Linked DNA regions of Macaca fascicularis. The protein of the gene in region 3 interacts with the protein of the main gene of each other region in a pairwise test. Links are inferred from orthologs where the notes say so. Each region holds a gene or a part of one and is shown on either strand. Other genes may lie near its edges.

Region 1 (2,178 bases), on a different chromosome or scaffold from region 3:
CCCAGTTTACCAAATCCTTAATTTGGAAGAGTAAAACCACAATAAATTTAAACTCTCACTATCCCCGTTTACCTGGGCCTAATGGACATCCCAGTTGATTAGAAAATAAATACTTTTCTTTCATTATTATCTGCCTTTAATTCAAATTTACCCTGTTCGTATTTGTCCAGACTGATGCTAAGAGAACTAGAAGCCCCTCTTTCCCAGTACATAGATACAAATGTGCAATGTTTGTCTTCCTGTGCAGCACACAGAAAATTACTGGTAAAAATAGAATACAGTTTTTTTCTTTTTGAGACAGGGTATGGCTCTGTCACTCAGACTGGAGTGCAGTGGAACCATCTCAGCTCACTGCAGCCGTGACCTCCCAGGCTCGAGGAATCCTCCCACCTCAGCCTCAGCCTCCCAAGTACCTGGGCACATACCACTATACCCAGCTAATTTTTGTATTTTTTGTAGAGACAGGGTTTTGCCGTGTTGCCCAAGCTAGTCTTCAACCTCCTGGACTTAAGCAGTCTCTTGGACCTTGGCCTCCCAAGTGCTGGGATTACAGACATGAGCCACGGGCACATTTATTCTATAGTATGTATTTTACTTGAATCTTTTGGTGAACTCACTATAAAAAGTTAAACATTAATAAATGAGGGCCCAGCGCAGTGGCTCACGCCTGTAATTCCAGCACTGTGGGAGGCCAAGGTGGGCGGATCACGAGGTCAAGAGATCGAATCCATCCTGGCCAACATGGTGAAAGCCCGTCTCTACTAAAAGTACAAAACTTAGCTGGGCATGGTAGCATATGTGGTGGCAGGCGCCTGTAGTCCCAGCTACTTGGGAGGCTGAGGCAGGAGAATCACTTGAACCCAGGAGGTGGAGGTGCAGTGAGCCAAGATTGCGCCACTGCACTCCAGCCTAACAACAGAGCAAGACTGTGTCTCAAAAAAAATTTTTTTTAATTAATAAATGAGATAGATAACTAGAGCTAATCTTTAATCCAGTATGATAATACCATTGTAACATCTTTAATACCAATGTAAGATCTTTCCTACGTTGGAAAGTTTGGGTGCCTTTATTTTAAAAAAATCAGCACAGATAATTGAATTATGCCTTCTTCTTAGGTTTCCTCTTACTCGACCCAGTCTTTGTAAAGAATGGGAGGCAGCTGTCAGAAGAAAAAACTTTAAACCCACCAAGTATAGCAGTATTTGTTCAGAGCACTTTACTCCAGACTGCTTTAAGAGAGAGTGCAACAACAAGTTACTGAAAGAGAATGCTGTGCCCACAATATTTCTTTGTACTGAGCCACATGACAAGGTAATATGCGTTTTAAAATATTGGGTTGCTTTCTGTTTATCAAACTGATATGTTCATTGATTAAAATGTGGAAAACTCAGTTAAAGAGAATAAATGTGCCTGGAACTTTGTGTAGTTAACAGTGATACACTTCTGAAAACACAAAATGCGGTTTATTTAAGATAAATATCCTCACACTAAGAAACTTAGTCCAGCCCTTGTAACTTACTTAAAAATCACTCTGTACTGCCAGTTATATATTGATAAGTTTTGGGTTTTCTTTATCAGTGACAGTTTAGTTTCAAAGCATTTTTTTCTCCTCAGTGCTTAGTATTTAATTGGATCTGATTATTCATTTTGTCTCTTTCTTGCACCGTCCCTTTATTGCAGGTAGAAAAGTTTATTCAAACTGAAACTGTTTTCTCATTTTGGAATGTTTCTGTACCACTGATTCACCACAAAAGTCTAATATTTCTTAAATTCCACAGAATATTTATTTATTTATTTATTTATTTATTTATTTATTTATTTTTGGGAGACAGAGTCTCTCTGTCACCCAGGCTGGAGTGCAGTGACATGATCTTGGCTCACTGCAACCTCCGCCTCCTGGTTTCAAACAATTCTCTTGCCTCAGCCTCCCGAGTAGCTGGGATTATAGGCATACACCACCACACCCGGCTAATTTTTGTATTTTTAGTAGAGACGGGGTTTCGCCATGTTTGGCCAGGCTGGTTTCAAACTCCTGACCTCAGGTGATCCGCCCACCTCTTCCTCCCAAAGTGCTAGGATTACAGGCGTGAGCCACTACCCCTGGTCAGTCCACAAATTGTTTTAAACTGTTATTTTTAGTTACTAAATTCAAACATACTTTGTACTTTTGTTTTAGAA
Region 2 (3,516 bases), on a different chromosome or scaffold from region 3:
CACTATATTTTGGCCCTGAATTTTAATCCCTCCCACCCCTGGCCCAGCTTAATGCCTTGGTTTTGGCAAACTGCCTTAGAAAGGGACCTAGCTGCAGTGTGGTAGAACATTTATCTCTTAAGGGGCGAAGAATACTGATTTTTAATTCCAAAAAAACAAAGATTTAGGCTCTTTGTTGTTAGTAGTGCTGTGTGTGTGTTTAGTTTAGCAAGATGTCCTCTGCTTTATCAGTTTTTACTAAAAATAGAAGAGAATTTCTTTTTTCTTCTCTTGGTTGTCTACAGATTTCATTCATTTTTAATTTTTCCTTCCTAAGGTATGCTGAGGTGGTGGTAGCCTCTGAAAACTCTGTCCACAAATTGTTGGAACTCCTACCAGGAAAAGTTCTTAATGGAGAAAAAGTGGACGTGAGGCCGGCCACCCGGCAGAACCTGTCACAGTTTGAGGCACAGGCTCGGAAACGTGAGTGTGTCCGAGTCCCAAGAGGGGGTACGTGGAGACCATCTGTATGAAGGGGGGGATGTTTGTGGGTTTGTTTTCTGTGGTGTAGGCTCAGCCTACAGTGTGGATGAGTTTGGGGGAGGGTGATGGTGGTTGTAAGTGGTGTCATGGTCAACAAGTAGTCCCCAAAATAGGTCTGTATAGAAGAAAGAGCATTGTGCTGGGAGTCAAGCAGGTTCAGGTTGTAGTTTGGTTCTGCCAATAATTCATTGTGTGACCTTGGCCAAGTCACTTTACTGCTTAGGGCCTGTTTCCTCATCTGGACTAGTGACATGATATTTAAAGTTCCATCAGCTCTAAATTCTGTGTTTCTGTCTAAAAATTGGCATATGGTGAATGGGCTTAATTTTTAAGACATGCCTCTCTATAAATTATCAAGAAACAGCCACCCTAAAATGTAACTAAAAGGTGCCTATAATCTTTTCATAAACGTTAATTGGAAAGATATTGAAAGGAATCAACCAAGAGGAGTGGTGGAGAATAAGAATTGAACAATATTTCTCCAGCATTGTCCAGGGGAGAGGGTGCTCTTTTGATTACCAAATGTTTTAGTCTGTTTGGCAGGTATATCCCATTAGTAAAGTTAGAGGCCGGGCGCAGTGGCTCATGCCTATAATCCCAGCACTTTGAGAGGCCAAGGTGGGTGGATCATGAGGTCAAGAATTTGAGACCAGCCTCACCAACATGGTGAAACCCCCATCTCTACTAGGAATACAAAAATTAGCTGGGTGTGGTGACACATGCCTGTAATCCCAGCTACACGGGAGACTGAGGCAAGAGAATTGCTTAAACACGGGAGACGGAGGTTGCAGTGAGCTGAAATCAGGCCACTGCACTCCAGCCTGGGCGACAGAGCAAGACTCCGTCTCGGGGGTGGGTGGGAGAGTTAGGGGCTGGGCGTGGTGGCTCACACCGTAATCCCAGCACTTCAGAAGGCCAAGGCGGGCAGATCACCTGAGGTCAGGAGTTGGAGACCAGCCTTGGCAACATGGCAAAACCCTGTCTCTACTAAAAATACAAAACTTAGCCGGTTATGGTGGCACATGCCTGTAATCTCAGCTACTTGAGAGGCTGAGGCAGGTGAATCTCTTGAACCCCAGAGGTGGAGGTTGCAATGACCTGAAATTGCACCATCACCCTCCAGCCTGGGTGACAGAGTGAGTCTCAAAAAAAAAAAAAAGCAAGCTACACCAGACTACCCTAGTTTGAGGACAGTTTCCCTTACATTCATCTTACTCTCTTTATTCTGACTGTACTCACTAAGCCACTTTCTTATGCTAATTTGGTTTCCCAATTAGGGTCTCCTACTGGGAAGAGTACTAAGTACTCCGGTTTGCTTGGCAGTTACATTTTTCATTGTAAATTAATAAATTGGTGTTCTGGTTTATGAGTCAGTCTCTTGTGAGTTTGGTTAGCATGAATCAGTCTCCTACGGCCTAGTCACCCCGGTTGAAGCAAGTTTCTGAATCTGAGAAACCTGAGGACTAGACCTTGGATTTTCCTGACCTGATAAAGTGCAGCCACCCTGCAAGGCCCTCCCTGAGACAGTCAGCCACCCTTACTTTCTTTTGCTACAGTGGGAGGAACAGCAGAGTTTCATCACCAATGTTCTGTCACTGCTTAGGTCCAGCTCTCAAAATAGTGCCTTGTATTGATTGGGTTTATCCTCCAAGTAGAAATAGGACCACTTTGTTCTTGCATAGGAACAGCTGTTCTTTTAACTAGATTGACAGCCTAGATAGATTTGGGGTGAACTCTTACTGCTCCATGTTAGAAAGGACACACTTTTCTTCCTTGACAAGTATTTTCAAGTTCCCTCTGTTTTGGAGTCTTTCTGTAATTCGCCGCTGACCTTCCTTAGGTATGTAATTTTACAGTTGTATTGGGAATAGCATTCCTACTTCTACTCAGCTGCTTTTCATGTTACCTTTCTTTGCTGAAAAGATTGTAGTAACTGAGTGCAGTTTTTCTCTGTCGTGCTGATAAACCTGGGCTCTGTTAATCACTAAGTAAAGCTGGTGGACTTCCTCTGCATAAAAATGGTTGCCTCTTTTGGGACTTGTAGCCATAGGTAAAAAACAGAATCCTTGCAGATGTGACAACAGTAGTAGCTGGGGAAGTGGTTAGCTGTCAGATGACACTTGCCTAATACCTTTTTGTTCTTCAGTTTGAGAGAACTCTAGGAAAGAGCCAGTTGCCATGTGTTTGGGACATGAAGAACAAGACAGCACTGACACTGTTTCTGTAGTAGAGAAGTCTAGGTGGTTGTCAGCATAATTGATTCCACCTTAGGCTTTACTCAGGAGCTGGGATTAACTATCGTGTTCTAGTTTAAGGAGCACTCTTTCCCTCCACACTTGCTGCCAATGGCATCTTTCTATTTCTAAGACTTCCCTGGTGTAATGTGATCTTGTTCTATTGGATTCCACATTAAACAGGCTTAAACTGTTAAACTGGAGAGAAGGAACAAGTTTAATCAAGTGACTTGACAGTGTCAGAATCCATGCTTCCAGCTGTTTAAAACATGTTCTGAGCTCCTGTTGTGCACAGCACCATACTGGCATGTGGTGATGGTGTTCGTGTTAGGCTGCCCTGAGGAGTAGAGGATTTTGGCCATTGAAATGTAGCAGGAGTTCCCCAGATTTAAGACATGGTTTGTAGCAAGCTTTTGCTAAGCATCCTTACTGTCAGCTGTGTGTCATGTGCTCGTGCTGTGGGCAGATCTTTTATTGGCCTATCTCCCAATTTTTCTTTCACTTAACCTCTAATTGTCTAGTCTTTATGCGTGTCTCTTTCTTACCCTGATTACTGGTTTTAGTATGTAAATAGAAGTGTCATCCAGTTCCTGCCACTCCCTCTCTTCCCATAAATTCCCTAGCCAACACCCTGTGGCAAAGAGAACATTTTAAATGTGCAACAGGAAGAGGTTAACTAGTATTAGTTTAAGGAGAGAGATCCTGAACTCTTCAGGAGATGTGGGGTTTCAAGTCAACTGCAATTCACCTGAACATCAGT
Region 3 (4,137 bases):
ATGTCTCATTCATCACTGCACTCTCAGAGCCCAGCACAAGTCCTGGCTCACAACAGGTGCCAAATACCTGTCTGCTGAAAAGAAACTCCTCATCTGCTATTGCTGTTTCCTCTACCCAGAAGCCCCAACCTAGCACCTTCTTGGATCAATTCTCACATAGAGGCAAGCCTAGGCTGTTTGGGAGGCTGGGAACGGGTAACTCACCGTCTTTCATACTCCATGTCCTGATAGGGCCTTCGGGGGCTGCTGGGGCCCCTCCTCAGCCGCTGGCTCCGTTTCACTTCCCAGCCACCCCCGCTGCTGCTACCATGATCTGCCAGCCTGGGTGATGCTTCCTGCAGGGACTCTGCGGAGAATAGAGGGAAAAAAGGGGTCAAAACAGTTGGGACAGAGAAGGCCTCCTTGAGAAACCCTCGTTGTCAAGGCTCTTTGCCGCCCCTTAGCCCAGGGACATTGTCTTCTAGCTCCCAGCACTCCTGTGCATCACAGTGTGAAGGTAGCCCCTACTTGGCCTGCTCCTCCCTTTCCCCGCAAACATGAGGCTAGAGCCCACTGCCTTAAAAAACAGCAAAGACGGCCGGGCGCGGTGGCTCAAGCCTGTAATCCCAGTACTTTGGGAGGCCGAGACGGGTGGATCACTAGGTCAGAAGATCGAGACCATCCTGGCTAACACGGTGAAACCCCGTCTCTACTAAAAAATACAAAAAACTAGCCGGGCGAGGTGGCGGGCGCCTGTAGTCCCAGCTACTCAGGAGGCTGAGGCAGGAGAATGGCCCGAACCCGGGAGGCGGAGCTTGCAGTGAGCTGAGATCCGGCCACTGCACTCCAGCCTGGGTGACAGAGCGAGACTCCGTCTCAAAAAAAAAAAATAAATAAAAAAATAAAGAAAACAGCAAAGACTTCAGCAGACAAGGGGCATCTTGCAGAGAGACCTGGCGGGGCCACCCACGGTGTGATCAGGGCTTTGCCACCTAAGACAGGTAGACAAATTCAAGCCTGGGGCTGCATCCCAGGGTGGCCGTAGGGATACTCTCAGGGCTGAAAGTCTTGCCTGAGATTCAGCACATCAGGCAAGACTTCACAACAATGGGAGCCCCAGGCACCCACCAGGCTCCTTCCATGGGCCCCAAGGGACCATCTCATCCTCCCAACAAGCTGCTGGCTGTCCCCTATAAGGCAGCAAAAGACCATGAAAGGTTCTTGGGGGTGTGTATGAAGGGGCTAACTTGGCAACGAGACAGCTGCTACCTCCCTGGGCTCCTGGCCAACACAGCCTTGGCCCTCACACAGCAACTGGCTCAGCCCTGAGCCCTGTCTCCTATGTGCAGCCAGGTCCCAAGGTGATTCCCTCCCCAGGGCTCAAGCCCGTTTTCCAGAGGCAAAAGGGGCCCTTTTGGAGGCTGTTCTGAACCACCGTGCTCTTCTACTGGGATGGAGCAGCAGCCACTTCATCCAACCCTCAGGGCTGTGGTGAGAACTCAAGGAGTCCTGAGAACCCTGTGACCCAGCCAGAGGTCAGGATGAATCCCAGATCTTCAGGCTCCACCCTCTGAACAGGAATCAGGTAAAGCCAGGCAAAAATAGCACCTGCCCAACACTAGGTTGCTGCCACGCCTTTGCTCTATGCGCGTGCACATACACACACACAGACACACGCACATTCCAACTTTCTCTTCCTCCTCAAGCCACAGGGAACCCGAATTACCTGCTCCCAGGTGGGCAAGAGTTAGAATCACACCAGAGGCACTGGCGGCTGAGAGCACAAAAACCCTCAAGAGACTCTGGCAAAGGGGCCAGAGTCACACAGTAACATCCACCACAGCCAAGGGCCAGTCACAGACACGAGCCCCAAATAACTACGGGCCCACATCACAGAAGGAATCCACAGTAAGGACCACAATTACACACTAGGTCCTCTTTCCATGGATGAGCGTCACTCTCACAAACTCCCCAAAAGAAGGGGCAATGAGTCACACACACATTCCCTGCATCCCCCTCCCCACCCAGTAAGTGGGTTAGGGTCAATCACAAGACAGTCGTCCCCCAAGCCCCGCCCCATGGATAAGGATCTGAGTCACAGACACTCTCCCTCAAAGGGTAAAGACCAGAGCCACATCCTCCCTCTGATCCCCCAGGAATAAAGACCAGAACCACAGAATATTTCCCAATGGATCGATAAACACCAGAGTAACACAGAGCAGCATCCCCTCTCCTATGCACAAGTCGCAGACAACCGCTTCCCCAATGATAAACTTCGGTGTAGCCGACACAGTGATCCACAGTAGCCCACTCCCATTCGTCCCTCCCTTCCCCCAACCCGCACGCACCCATCCCATGTCCCAGTCGCGCACGCGCCTTTGCTCACACCAAAAAAAAAAAAAAAAAAAACCACCAAAAAAAAAAAAACAAAAAAAACCCCTCCCGGGTACAGACATTGCACGAACCCCTCCGTTCCGCGCATCCCACCGACCCGAAGTCCGCCCTCGCGCCTCCTCTACGTCCCCGCCCCGGGCCCCTTACCTCCGCCCCCACGACCAGCGTCGACGCTCACCTTCTCGGCCCGGGCTGTCAAGGGAGGGCTCCCAGACATCACCTCGGCCCGCCGCCACCTCCTCCAACTCTCCCAGCTCAGCCGGAGCCGGAGCGCGCAACTACCAAGTCCGAGACTGCAGGCAGATCGGGGGGAGGGGAGAAGCGCCAAGCGCGCTGCCCTCCCAAGGAAACTCACTGCCGCCTACTCCCAGCCGGCCAGTCACCAGCTCAAAATGGCGACGACGAGAAGGGAGTCGGCGCTCCGACCACCATCCACCTACTAAGGAAGCGCGCTCTGGCCGGCCCCGGCGATTGGTCACCGCCCGCCAGGGGACAGCCCTGGCCTCCTCTGATTGGCAAGCGCTGGCCACCTCCCCACACCTCCCCACACCCGTGCGAACGCTCCCCTAGTGGAGAAAAGAAGTAGCTATTGGCCAATCCGGCAGGGCCCGCTTTTTAGAAGCTTGATTTCCTTTGAAGATGAAAGACTAGCGGAAGCTCCACCTCTTTCCCCAAAGGGCGAGGGAACTCTGGGCGATTGGCTGGGAACTATATCCACCCAATGTCACCGATTTCTTCCTATCCAGGAAATGAGCAGATCCATCAATAAGAAATTTCTCAGCCTGGCCGAAAGGGGGAGAGAATGGTTGGCCCCACGAAGCCACGACAACTGGAGGCAAAGAGGGTTGCTCAACGCCCCGCCTCACTGGAAAACAAAATCAGATCTGGGACCTATATAGCATGGCGGAGGCGGAGCGATAATTGTCGCGCTCTCACCCACTGCAGCTGCGCACAGTCGCATTTCCGTCCCCGCCCCTCAGACCCTGCAGCACCATCTGTCATGGCGGCTGGGCTGTTTGGTTTGAGCGCTCGCCGTCTTTTGGCGGCAGCGGCAACGCGAGGGCTCCCGGCCGCCCGCGTCCGCTGGGAATCTAGCTTCTCCAGGACTGTGGTCGCCCCGTCCGCTGTGGCGAGAAAGCGGGCCCTGGAACCGACCACACAGTGGCAAGAGGACCCAGAACCCGAAGACCAAAACTTGTATGAGAAGGTAAGAGGCGGGGGGGGTGGGGGGGGACGGAACCCTGAAGGGGTCAATCCGGGATCGGCAGGTGGGGCGCTGTAGAGGACGTTCTTAGGCAGTAGAGGCCTGCGCGGCCGGCGAAAGCCTAGAAGACTTGGGAATTTTGCCTATCTTGTGTTCCTCCTTTATCTGTGGATATCCGCGTTCCAGGGCCAGAGGCAGGACTGGTTTTATTTTGCAGACAGAAATCACGCCTCAAGTGGACAGCGCTCAAAACGCATTAGAAGCAATATAGTAGTACAACAACGATAATACTAAACACCGATATGGTACTTGCTCGTTGCTGTCTGTGTTCTTTTTTTTTTAGAGACGAGATCTCGCTCTGTTGCCCAGGCTGGTCTCGAACTCCTGGCTCAAGCGATCCTCCCGCCTCGGCCTCCCAAGGTGCTGGGATTACAGGCAGGAGCCACCGCTCTGGGCCCCATCTGTGTTCTAAACACTTGATGTGCATTAGCTCATCTTATCCTAAAAACAAACCCCATTTCGAGGTAGGCACTATTATTATACTCATCCTACAGATAAGG
Region 4 (4,083 bases), on a different chromosome or scaffold from region 3:
AGGATAATTTGTCCAGTGAGTAAAAGATGGCTCTCATTTGTGTTAACCATCTTTTTATTTTCTTATTAAACTACCTCTTCTTTCTTATAATCTTATCATTCAAGAATGGGTATTTTGCAGTGAGAAAGGGATCCACAACTCACTTTTTCTGTCATCTGTAACAATGTTTTTAAAATGTACTTTCTGCTTAACGAGTTTTGAATCCATCCACAAACGCACCAAGTAGCTATATAACGTGGTGGACAACTTTGTTATTTGCAATTGATAAAACCAAACACAAGGTTGTTCACCAGCTATTATGTAGCAGGCATCACAGAGTATACCTGTAATAGTGATTTTTCATTACTGAAATTTCAGTACTGGCTCATCTGTTCTCTTGTTTCAAAAATCCAGAAGATGGGAACACATTTATAAAGACACTTTACAAGGTTATTAATATCTATAAAACCGACTAAGTATGCATTTATTAAGCCCCCAGGTGTTGGGATTGTACTTGGCGAACATCTAAGGCAGTAAAATTACCTTTTCTGTGGTATTCTACGGTCTACAGGAGCTTTTTTATTTTTATGTTTTGAGATGGAGTCTCACTCTTTTGACCAGGCTGGAGTGCAGCGGTGCGATCTCGGCTCACTGCAGCCTCCATCTCTCGGGTTCAAGGGATTCTCCTGCCTCAGCCTCCCGGGCAGCTGGGATTACAGGCGCCCGCCACCATGCCAGGCTAATTTTTTTTTTTTTTTTTTTTTTAATTTTTAGTAGAGACGGGGGTTTCGCCCTGTTGGCCAGGCTGGTCTCGAACTACCGACCGCAAGTGATCCGCCCGCTTCGGCCTCCCAAAGTGCTGGCTTCGGCCTCCCAAAGTGCTGGGATTACGGACGTGAGCCACCGCGCCCGGCCACAGGAGCTTTTTAGAAGATGCTTTACGCCACACAGTAATGCAACACTGAAAAGACAAGTCGCCTTTTCTCTGCTTTTGCATCTCTTTCCTTAACTTCTGGAAATCTTGAATTTCCACAGTTGTCTACCGAAGATTCTCAGTACATCTACCATCTGAGCCTTGACTGTGTCTCCGAATTTCTCCTGTTGCAAATCGAGGTCCCTGGACTGGGCACAATCTGGGCATGCGCAGAAGCTCAGCCAACTCGGGGCTCCGCCTCCCCTCCTCTAGCAAGGGGAAGCGGGTGAGCGGCAGCGCGCGTGCGCAAGCGTGGTGGTGGGATACGCCTGGAGAGCGCATGGGCAGAGAAACATTACGTCCGTTTGTCCGGACCGGAGGGGCAGTGGGCGCCATCTTCTTCTAGGCTCACTGAGGGCTCTACGTGTTCTGGGGAGGCTGCTGCGACGAGGAGTGCCCTCAGCCTCCGGCCTTGTGTGTCCGACTCGGCAGCAGTGGTGTGTGTTTATTGCCAAGTGCGAAGCAGTTCCCCTCGGGGCGCCGGGGGTGGGGAGGGCTGGGCGACCAAGCCGGAAGAACCGGGAAAGGCGGGACCGGCGGCCGCGCCAGTATCTAGCGTAGCTCCTGCCGTTAGGGCACCCTCTTTTCTTGCTAAAACACCGACTCTCCCTTTCCCGTCAGCTTCCATGTGGTGGTGTATGTGCGCTTCCCAGGGATCTTGAGAGTGAAGATCTCGAAGGATTTCATAGGTATTTCTTTTTCTTTGCTATGTCATCGTAGTTAGTAGTGGCAGAAAAGCGCTGCAGGCCCGGCTCGTTAGGCTTGAGAAGGGCAAGTGTTTTCAGTTAGATTTGGGGGCAGTTCACCCTCTGGCGAGGTAGGGTGGAATGTTTGCCCTTGAGACGGCGTAACGGAAAGGCACAGAGGTTGGGCGGTCCAGGTTAATTTGAAGGCTGATTTTGGCTGAAAGTCTGGCAACAACATCGGATCCCACGTAGCAACTTTGGCCTGGCGCGAAAGAAGGAAGCTCTGACCCCTGGGAGTTATGGACAAAGGCTTTGGGCTGTAGAATCGATGCCTTCGGATGATTCCCGTTTGAGGATGTTGGGAGAAATCCTGTGCCGTGTGGATTCGTCTTCATTTACAGTTCTTCTTAGGGACTATGGCTCTCATTGGTCATTCCTTTGGTTTTTATTTTAAACATCTACATTATAAAAGGTGGATCATCATAAAGAATAATTGTGGGTTGGTGTAGATTATTTTCTCCAGGGGAAACTCACGTTTAGAGTGCGAATATGCTACATCATGACTTTGGGCTTTACGAATTAGTCGCAAAGAGTTAAAAAAATTCTCTCTCTCACCATATCTGGAAAATGACTTTTTCTTCGCTAGTTAAAAATCAAATGGATCTAATGAGATATTACTTATTCAAATTCTGCCTCCCTCCCCTTTCCCTCTCTGTATCCCGTTAAATCTTGATTAGAAGATACACATTACATATTGTTTAGCTATAATGATGATTAAGTGGGATGAATCGTATAAAAATAGAAGTTATTTAAAATGCGCTTTTAATTTCACTGACTTAAGTGACCTTTTAGGGACCCACTTTCTTTTCATAGAAATTTTAACAGATTATTGTCTTCAAATGAACACAAAGGCACGAAAATACTTTTTGCATTCATAACTAGAAAAATGCAAAATTTTAATTGCAGACTAGGGTAATTTTCGTGTTTTGCTTTCTGTAATTTAGTGTGTTAAGAGCTGAATTTCTGGAGAATTTGCTTAAGGAAATAGCATGTTGGAACCACAGAAGTGCCCATTTTGAGAGCTGGTCTTTTATAGTTGGTCTCCAAGGTGTGATACTGTGGAGGCATAAATGGTACATTACCCTACTGTCTCAGGGGCAGAGAAGTTTAAGCATTAGTTGTGTTTAACTGTGGCAAATGAGAGTAAGCTTTTTAAATAGTCTGCTTGAATTGGAATTCATGAGATTTGTGCTCATGAAACTACTTAGTTAAAAGATCTTACTAGAGATTTTTTTGAATTTGAGATATAATTATTCCTTGAAATGTCTCTAATTTCTCTTGTAGATGAATTTATGTTCCCAGGGTAAATCCCTTTAAATTTTTTTAAAAAGCTTAGGAGAGACAAGAATATGTATATCTTACGGTGCTTTCTAAAATATCTTAACAGTAAAAGAGTAGCTAAGCCAATTTGCATAGGAGGGAGTCTTGGGACTTTAATATGGATAAGCATTCCAGAAGCCATTTATAGTTTTTGTTGAAGTGTTTGTATGGATATTGGTTTGTTGAAGAAAATAGGCTTTTTTTGGGTTGTTACTGTGCAAATACTTGAATAGCAAACCTCATTAATATTTTTCAGATGTAGAATGTGTGAAGTAATTTGATGTCTTTGCTAGTTTAGCTTCTAGTTAATCTATGGACCCTTTTTAAAGGAAAACAAACAGACCTCAGTGAATGTATCTTCAGACCCCCACTTTGGGGAACAGTGGTACTTAAGTGTAAGTACTGGATTCTTGATTAATGCAACATTTATTTGTACATTAAAAACATGTAAATTACGCCAGGCGCAGTGGATCATACCTGTAAATCCTAGCACTGTGGGAGGCTGAGGCAAGCTAGTTGCTTGAGCCCATGAGTTCCCTACCAGCCTGGGCAACATGGTGAAACCCTGGCTCTACAAAAAATACAAAAATTAGCCGGGTGTGGTGGTGCACACCTGTAGTCCCAGCTACTTGGGAGGCTGAGGTGGGAGGATTGCCTGAGCCTGGGTAAGTCTAGGCTGTAGTGAGCCAAGATCGCACCACTGCACTCCAGCCTGGGTAGCAGAGCGAGAGAGACCCTGTCTCCTCCACCAAAAAAAGTGAGTGTAAATTATAATTATTATTTTGGCAAGTCTTCGTGAAATAGTTTGGGTATCCCTGAAAGTATTAAACACAGACTTCTTTAAAAAAAAATACATTGAGATTTTCAGTAAACTGGTAATCCCAGTATTCCAGGTAATTTTTACTTTTACTTTCTACATCATCATTTGGGTTTCCTTAGTAGAGTGAAGAATAGTTGTTTGAAATGGAAATCTGCTATTGGCATTACTAATAAGATAAATAGCATTTTCTGTTTGGCTGAGAAGAATTTTACCAGTTAACTATTTTTGCAGTATAAGGAGTGCTA
Region 5 (4,012 bases), on a different chromosome or scaffold from region 3:
TCTGCTGCAGATGGTGGTGTTAACTGCTGCAACTCTTGTCCTGTCTTGCTTAGTTCCTACGGATATTTTTGTTTCTTGTCATTTGAAAGATTAAGAAACAAAAACAATCCAGAAATTGATCGGTTTTTTTAGACCAATTCCATCCCTTCTGGATAACCAGATGTTAAATCGTGAGATCAGAGATGCTGTTCATCAGTCCCAACAAGATGGCCTAGAGATCGCATTCTCACCTCGCCTTGCTGCTGCTTTAATTCCAACTTCTATTTCTTCCCTTATAGTTTTCTATGGGAATGAGGCGGATACAGGAAACACCCTGTCTCCTGTGTATTTTTGTAGCGGAATTTTCTATTTAAGGGGCTCATTAAAGCATAGTATTTATACACATTACTGGCATTGTTTCTTGTGTTTGAATAAAGGATTCTCCTAGGTAGGAAAGTGGTGGGTAAAAGGTGGGTATGATCCAAGAGAGGAAAGCATCTACTGTATTATTGCTAAGGAAATAGGGGAACTGGATTTGGTGAGACTCTGCAGAATTCAAGTGCAGTTTGGGGAAAGGATTCTGTGTGTGTCTCCCATTTAGAGGCAGATGGGGCCAGATTGTTCTAGAGATCCAGACTGAAGTCTCTGAGCTCCGATCCTATCCACCCCTCACCTGTGGTCACACACCACCTTGGAGCTGCCCTCACCCTCCCCATGCAATTACGACGAGATGAGCGCAGACGTCACTCCAGCTCAGACATTTCGCAGTCTCCTCCCCTGAGGGAAAACCAAATACCTCCAGCCCAAATCAGGGCTGTTGAGGCCAAATCTGCAAGAAGGTTGCAGGCGAGATGGAGGGTTCCCTCTGCGCCTGAAAGCAGCCAAGTCCTCGGGTTGGGGGGACTCTTCAGCACATCCTTCTCTGGACAACAAAACATCATCACTGGCTACAAAATACATGAAAACTGAAGTTTTTGTTCTTTTAGCTTTCGAATTTACATTTTTGGGAGCAGTGTGATTCTTTCAAGTCTAGCAGTGCATTAAGACGGTCTGAGCCACTAGCAGCGGCACCTCTGCGCGAGTGCCGAGGACTCCACCGCTCAACCCGAGTTAAGTCTTGGAGGATCCTAAAATGGCTGCAGCCGCTTCCAGGCCCCTCCTCTTCCGCGGCTCCGCCCACCGCTACGTCCTCCTTCGCCCCGGAAGTGGAAGTCGTGCTGAGGTCAGAAGGCGGAACCGCTGCTGGGAGACGGCGGGAGCTCTTTCGCCATGGCTGCCGGGCCGATCTCCGAGCGGAACCAGGGTAACTGGAGGGGGAAAGTCTGGAATGGGCTCAGCGTGGCTAGGAGGCCCCTACTACAGCCAGAAGTGCCTCTGCAGGGGTGGGAGACTGGACTCATCCATTCCCCAGAGGGCGCGAGACCGGCCCCGTGCCTCCTGGGGGCGGGGTGGCCAGGTGCTGGCTGAGGCCTGTGTGTGTGATACTTACGTCCAATCCCCTGCTGAGTTCTCACTCAAAAAAACAAAAAAATCCACTCAGAATACTAAATTAGACTTCAGAGGATTCCTGAAGTCCTGGAGAGAGAAGTTTAAGGGTTTAACTTTTTTTTTTTGCTCCTGTCCCCTACCCGCGTCCCCAGTTCCCCCGGTTGGGTTCCATCTTCATGTTTCCATCACCTCCTTCTTTCATGTTATACTCTCACCCTTGCTCTAACTTTCTGCTCCCTCCCTTCAGATGCCACTGTGTACGTGGGGGGCCTGGATGAGAAGGTTAGTGAACCACTGCTGTGGGAACTGTTTCTCCAGGCTGGACCAGTAGTCAACACCCACATGCCAAAGGATAGAGTCACTGGCCAGCACCAAGGTGAGTACATGACAAGGGGCAGTTTGCTTCCGGAGGGTCCCGGCAGTATTCACAACTGTTTTGGAATAACATGAGCAACCTAAAGTATTTCTTTCTTTTAAGCCTCTGTTCAGTTTATTTCTGGAACCATTCTTAAGTGAGATTGTTTCTTTCTTGTTCTTTGTGATTAGAGGGTAGATGAGTTTTACCCCATTTTCAATCTCTTATGTTGTTAACCTCCTCTTCTCCACTTCTCCAGGCTATGGCTTTGTGGAATTCTTGAGTGAGGAAGATGCTGACTATGCCATTAAGATCATGAACATGATCAAACTCTATGGGAAGCCAATACGGGTGAACAAGGCATCAGCCCACAACAAAAACCTGGATGTAGGGGCCAACATTTTCATTGGGAACCTGGACCCTGAGATTGATGAGAAGTTGCTTTATGATACTTTCAGCGCTTTTGGGGTCATCTTACAAACCCCCAAGATTATGCGGGACCCTGACACAGGCAACTCCAAAGGTTATGCCTTTATTAATTTTGCTTCATTTGATGCTTCGGATGCAGCAATTGAAGCCATGAATGGGCAGTACCTCTGTAACCGCCCTATCACCGTATCTTATGCCTTCAAGAAGGACTCCAAGGGTGAGCGCCATGGCTCAGCAGCCGAACGACTTCTGGCAGCTCAGAACCCGCTCTCCCAGGCTGACCGCCCTCATCAGCTGTTTGCAGATGCACCTCCTCCACCCTCTGCCCCCAATCCTGTGGTATCATCATTGGGGTCTGGGCTTCCTCCACCAGGTAAAGCTTTTGGTTAAAATTTGTTTGTCTTAAGGTTGGGGGAGAGAGTCAGGAGGAAGAAAAAAAGAGCCTGAAAGGGGGATGGGACATGGAGTCAGTGAGTGATGGGAAGAGGACTGAGGGGTGATGGTAGTGGTGGAGAAGAAAGTTGTTGGGTTTCTTTAGGAGGGTGAAGTTGGTTGACTTTTCTAACATTGCTTTTGATTTTAGAGCACTGGGAGGAGGGGGAAAGAGCTCACCCTGCCCAGAGAGGCCAGATCAGGACAGGCTCTTTAAAGACATTTTCTCCTCACTACCATTAACTTTTCCTTTTTCCATTTCCTCTATAGGCATGCCTCCTCCTGGCTCCTTCCCACCCCCAGTGCCACCTCCTGGAGCCCTCCCACCTGGGATACCCCCAGCCATGCCCCCACCACCTATGCCTCCTGGAGCTGCAGGACATGGCCCCCCATCGGCAGGAACCCCAGGGGCAGGACATCCTGGTCATGGACACTCACATCCTCACCCATTCCCACCAGGTGGGATGCCCCATCCAGGTAGGTGTGCTTTGTTGGGAGGGAAGAGCTTGGTAGAGCATCTCTGTTACCTCTCACCCTGCTGCCCTTTGTTCCTCAACAGTAACAGTTTCAGAGTTTCCTTTCCTTCAGACATTCTATTATAAAAACATACAAAATACTCTCTAACATCCACCTCCCTGTATCCATTTCTTAAGTTTTTCTGACAAGAAGACTATACTTGCTGGTTTTTATTTCTTTAACCTTTAGTTCCATTCTCTTCTCTGACTCCAGCTCAAAGTGGTGACCTAATTGCCAAATCTCAGGGACACGTCTGCTCCTTATCTAGTTTGACCTCTGATGTACTTGAAACTAGTCGTGTCCTCCTGTTTGAAATTCTCGTCTCTTTTTGCTTTTGCTTTTCTAGATCCTCCACCCCTCTGACTCCTTAATCTCAGCTACCATGATAGACTCTTGTCTACTTGTGCCTAGATTTTTGTGCTTGTTTCTCTTTTCTGCATATATCTATAGTTTTAATTGGGCATATACTGATGCCTCCTAGATCTGTATCTCTAGTCCATAGCTGTTGACATTCCGGATCCTTAATGCTTTAATGCTGCTGCTTAATAGATAGCGTCATTTTTCTGTCCCTCTCCTTCAAACCCATTCTTTCTCTAGCAGTCTTTTTTTTCAGGTGCTTAATTCATGAATCTGAGAGTGATGTTTGACTGCTCCCTATCACCCCACTCTTAATACCAAGTCTTATTTAATATCAGTGGCATCTCTCCCCATGGCCAGTGCCCTAGTTCAGTCTCTCATTCCCTCATTATTTAACACTTAATTTATTGTAGTAATCTCCTTCCACTTGGACTCCAGTTTTCCCTAACTTCGATC

What was found.
Region 1: the proteins of RBM10 (region 3) and THAP1 interact in binary tests that used the Homo sapiens proteins (3 or more experiments, as listed by UniProt). The two-hybrid records come from large-scale screens. The link is inferred for Macaca fascicularis from reciprocal best matches to the Homo sapiens genes RBM10 and THAP1.
Region 2: the proteins of RBM10 (region 3) and CPSF7 interact in binary tests that used the Homo sapiens proteins (3 or more experiments, as listed by UniProt). The two-hybrid records come from large-scale screens. The link is inferred for Macaca fascicularis from reciprocal best matches to the Homo sapiens genes RBM10 and CPSF7.
Region 4: the proteins of RBM10 (region 3) and RBM12B interact in a two-hybrid assay, tested with the Homo sapiens proteins (3 studies listed by BioGRID). The link is inferred for Macaca fascicularis from reciprocal best matches to the Homo sapiens genes RBM10 and RBM12B.
Region 5: the proteins of RBM10 (region 3) and SF3B4 interact in binary tests that used the Homo sapiens proteins (3 or more experiments, as listed by UniProt). The link is inferred for Macaca fascicularis from reciprocal best matches to the Homo sapiens genes RBM10 and SF3B4.

What each region holds. Positions count from the first base shown.
Region 1 is NC_088382.1:46,376,722-46,378,899, reverse strand, and holds part of THAP1 (THAP domain-containing protein 1), read left to right. Parts: intron 1-1,115; coding exon 1,116-1,311; intron 1,312-2,176; coding exon 2,177-2,178. UniProt on the Homo sapiens protein: DNA-binding transcription regulator that regulates endothelial cell proliferation and G1/S cell-cycle progression.
Region 2 is NC_088388.1:12,623,020-12,626,535, forward strand, and holds part of CPSF7 (cleavage and polyadenylation specificity factor subunit 7), read left to right. Parts: intron 1-316; coding exon 317-489; intron 490-3,516.
Region 3 is NC_088395.1:47,252,745-47,256,881, reverse strand, and holds the start of RBM10 (RNA-binding protein 10), read right to left. Parts: upstream 2,815-4,137; 5' UTR 2,591-2,814; coding exon 2,521-2,590; intron 347-2,520; coding exon 205-346; intron 1-204. Other genes in the region: NDUFB11 (NADH dehydrogenase [ubiquinone] 1 beta subcomplex subunit 11, mitochondrial), read left to right, coding at 3,374-3,580. UniProt on the Homo sapiens protein: Binds to ssRNA containing the consensus sequence 5'-AGGUAA-3'. May be involved in post-transcriptional processing, most probably in mRNA splicing. Binds to RNA homopolymers, with a preference for poly(G) and poly(U) and little for poly(A).
Region 4 is NC_088382.1:103,388,538-103,392,620, reverse strand, and holds the start of RBM12B (RNA-binding protein 12B), read left to right. Parts: upstream 1-1,276; 5' UTR 1,277-1,389; intron 1,390-1,573; 5' UTR 1,574-1,641; intron 1,642-2,162; exon of another isoform or gene 2,163-3,413; intron 3,414-3,634; exon of another isoform or gene 3,635-3,775; intron 3,776-4,083.
Region 5 is NC_088375.1:111,352,215-111,356,226, forward strand, and holds the start of SF3B4 (splicing factor 3B subunit 4), read left to right. Parts: upstream 1-1,204; 5' UTR 1,205-1,248; coding exon 1,249-1,282; intron 1,283-1,714; coding exon 1,715-1,843; intron 1,844-2,081; coding exon 2,082-2,624; intron 2,625-2,953; coding exon 2,954-3,160; intron 3,161-4,012. UniProt on the Homo sapiens protein: Component of the 17S U2 SnRNP complex of the spliceosome, a large ribonucleoprotein complex that removes introns from transcribed pre-mRNAs.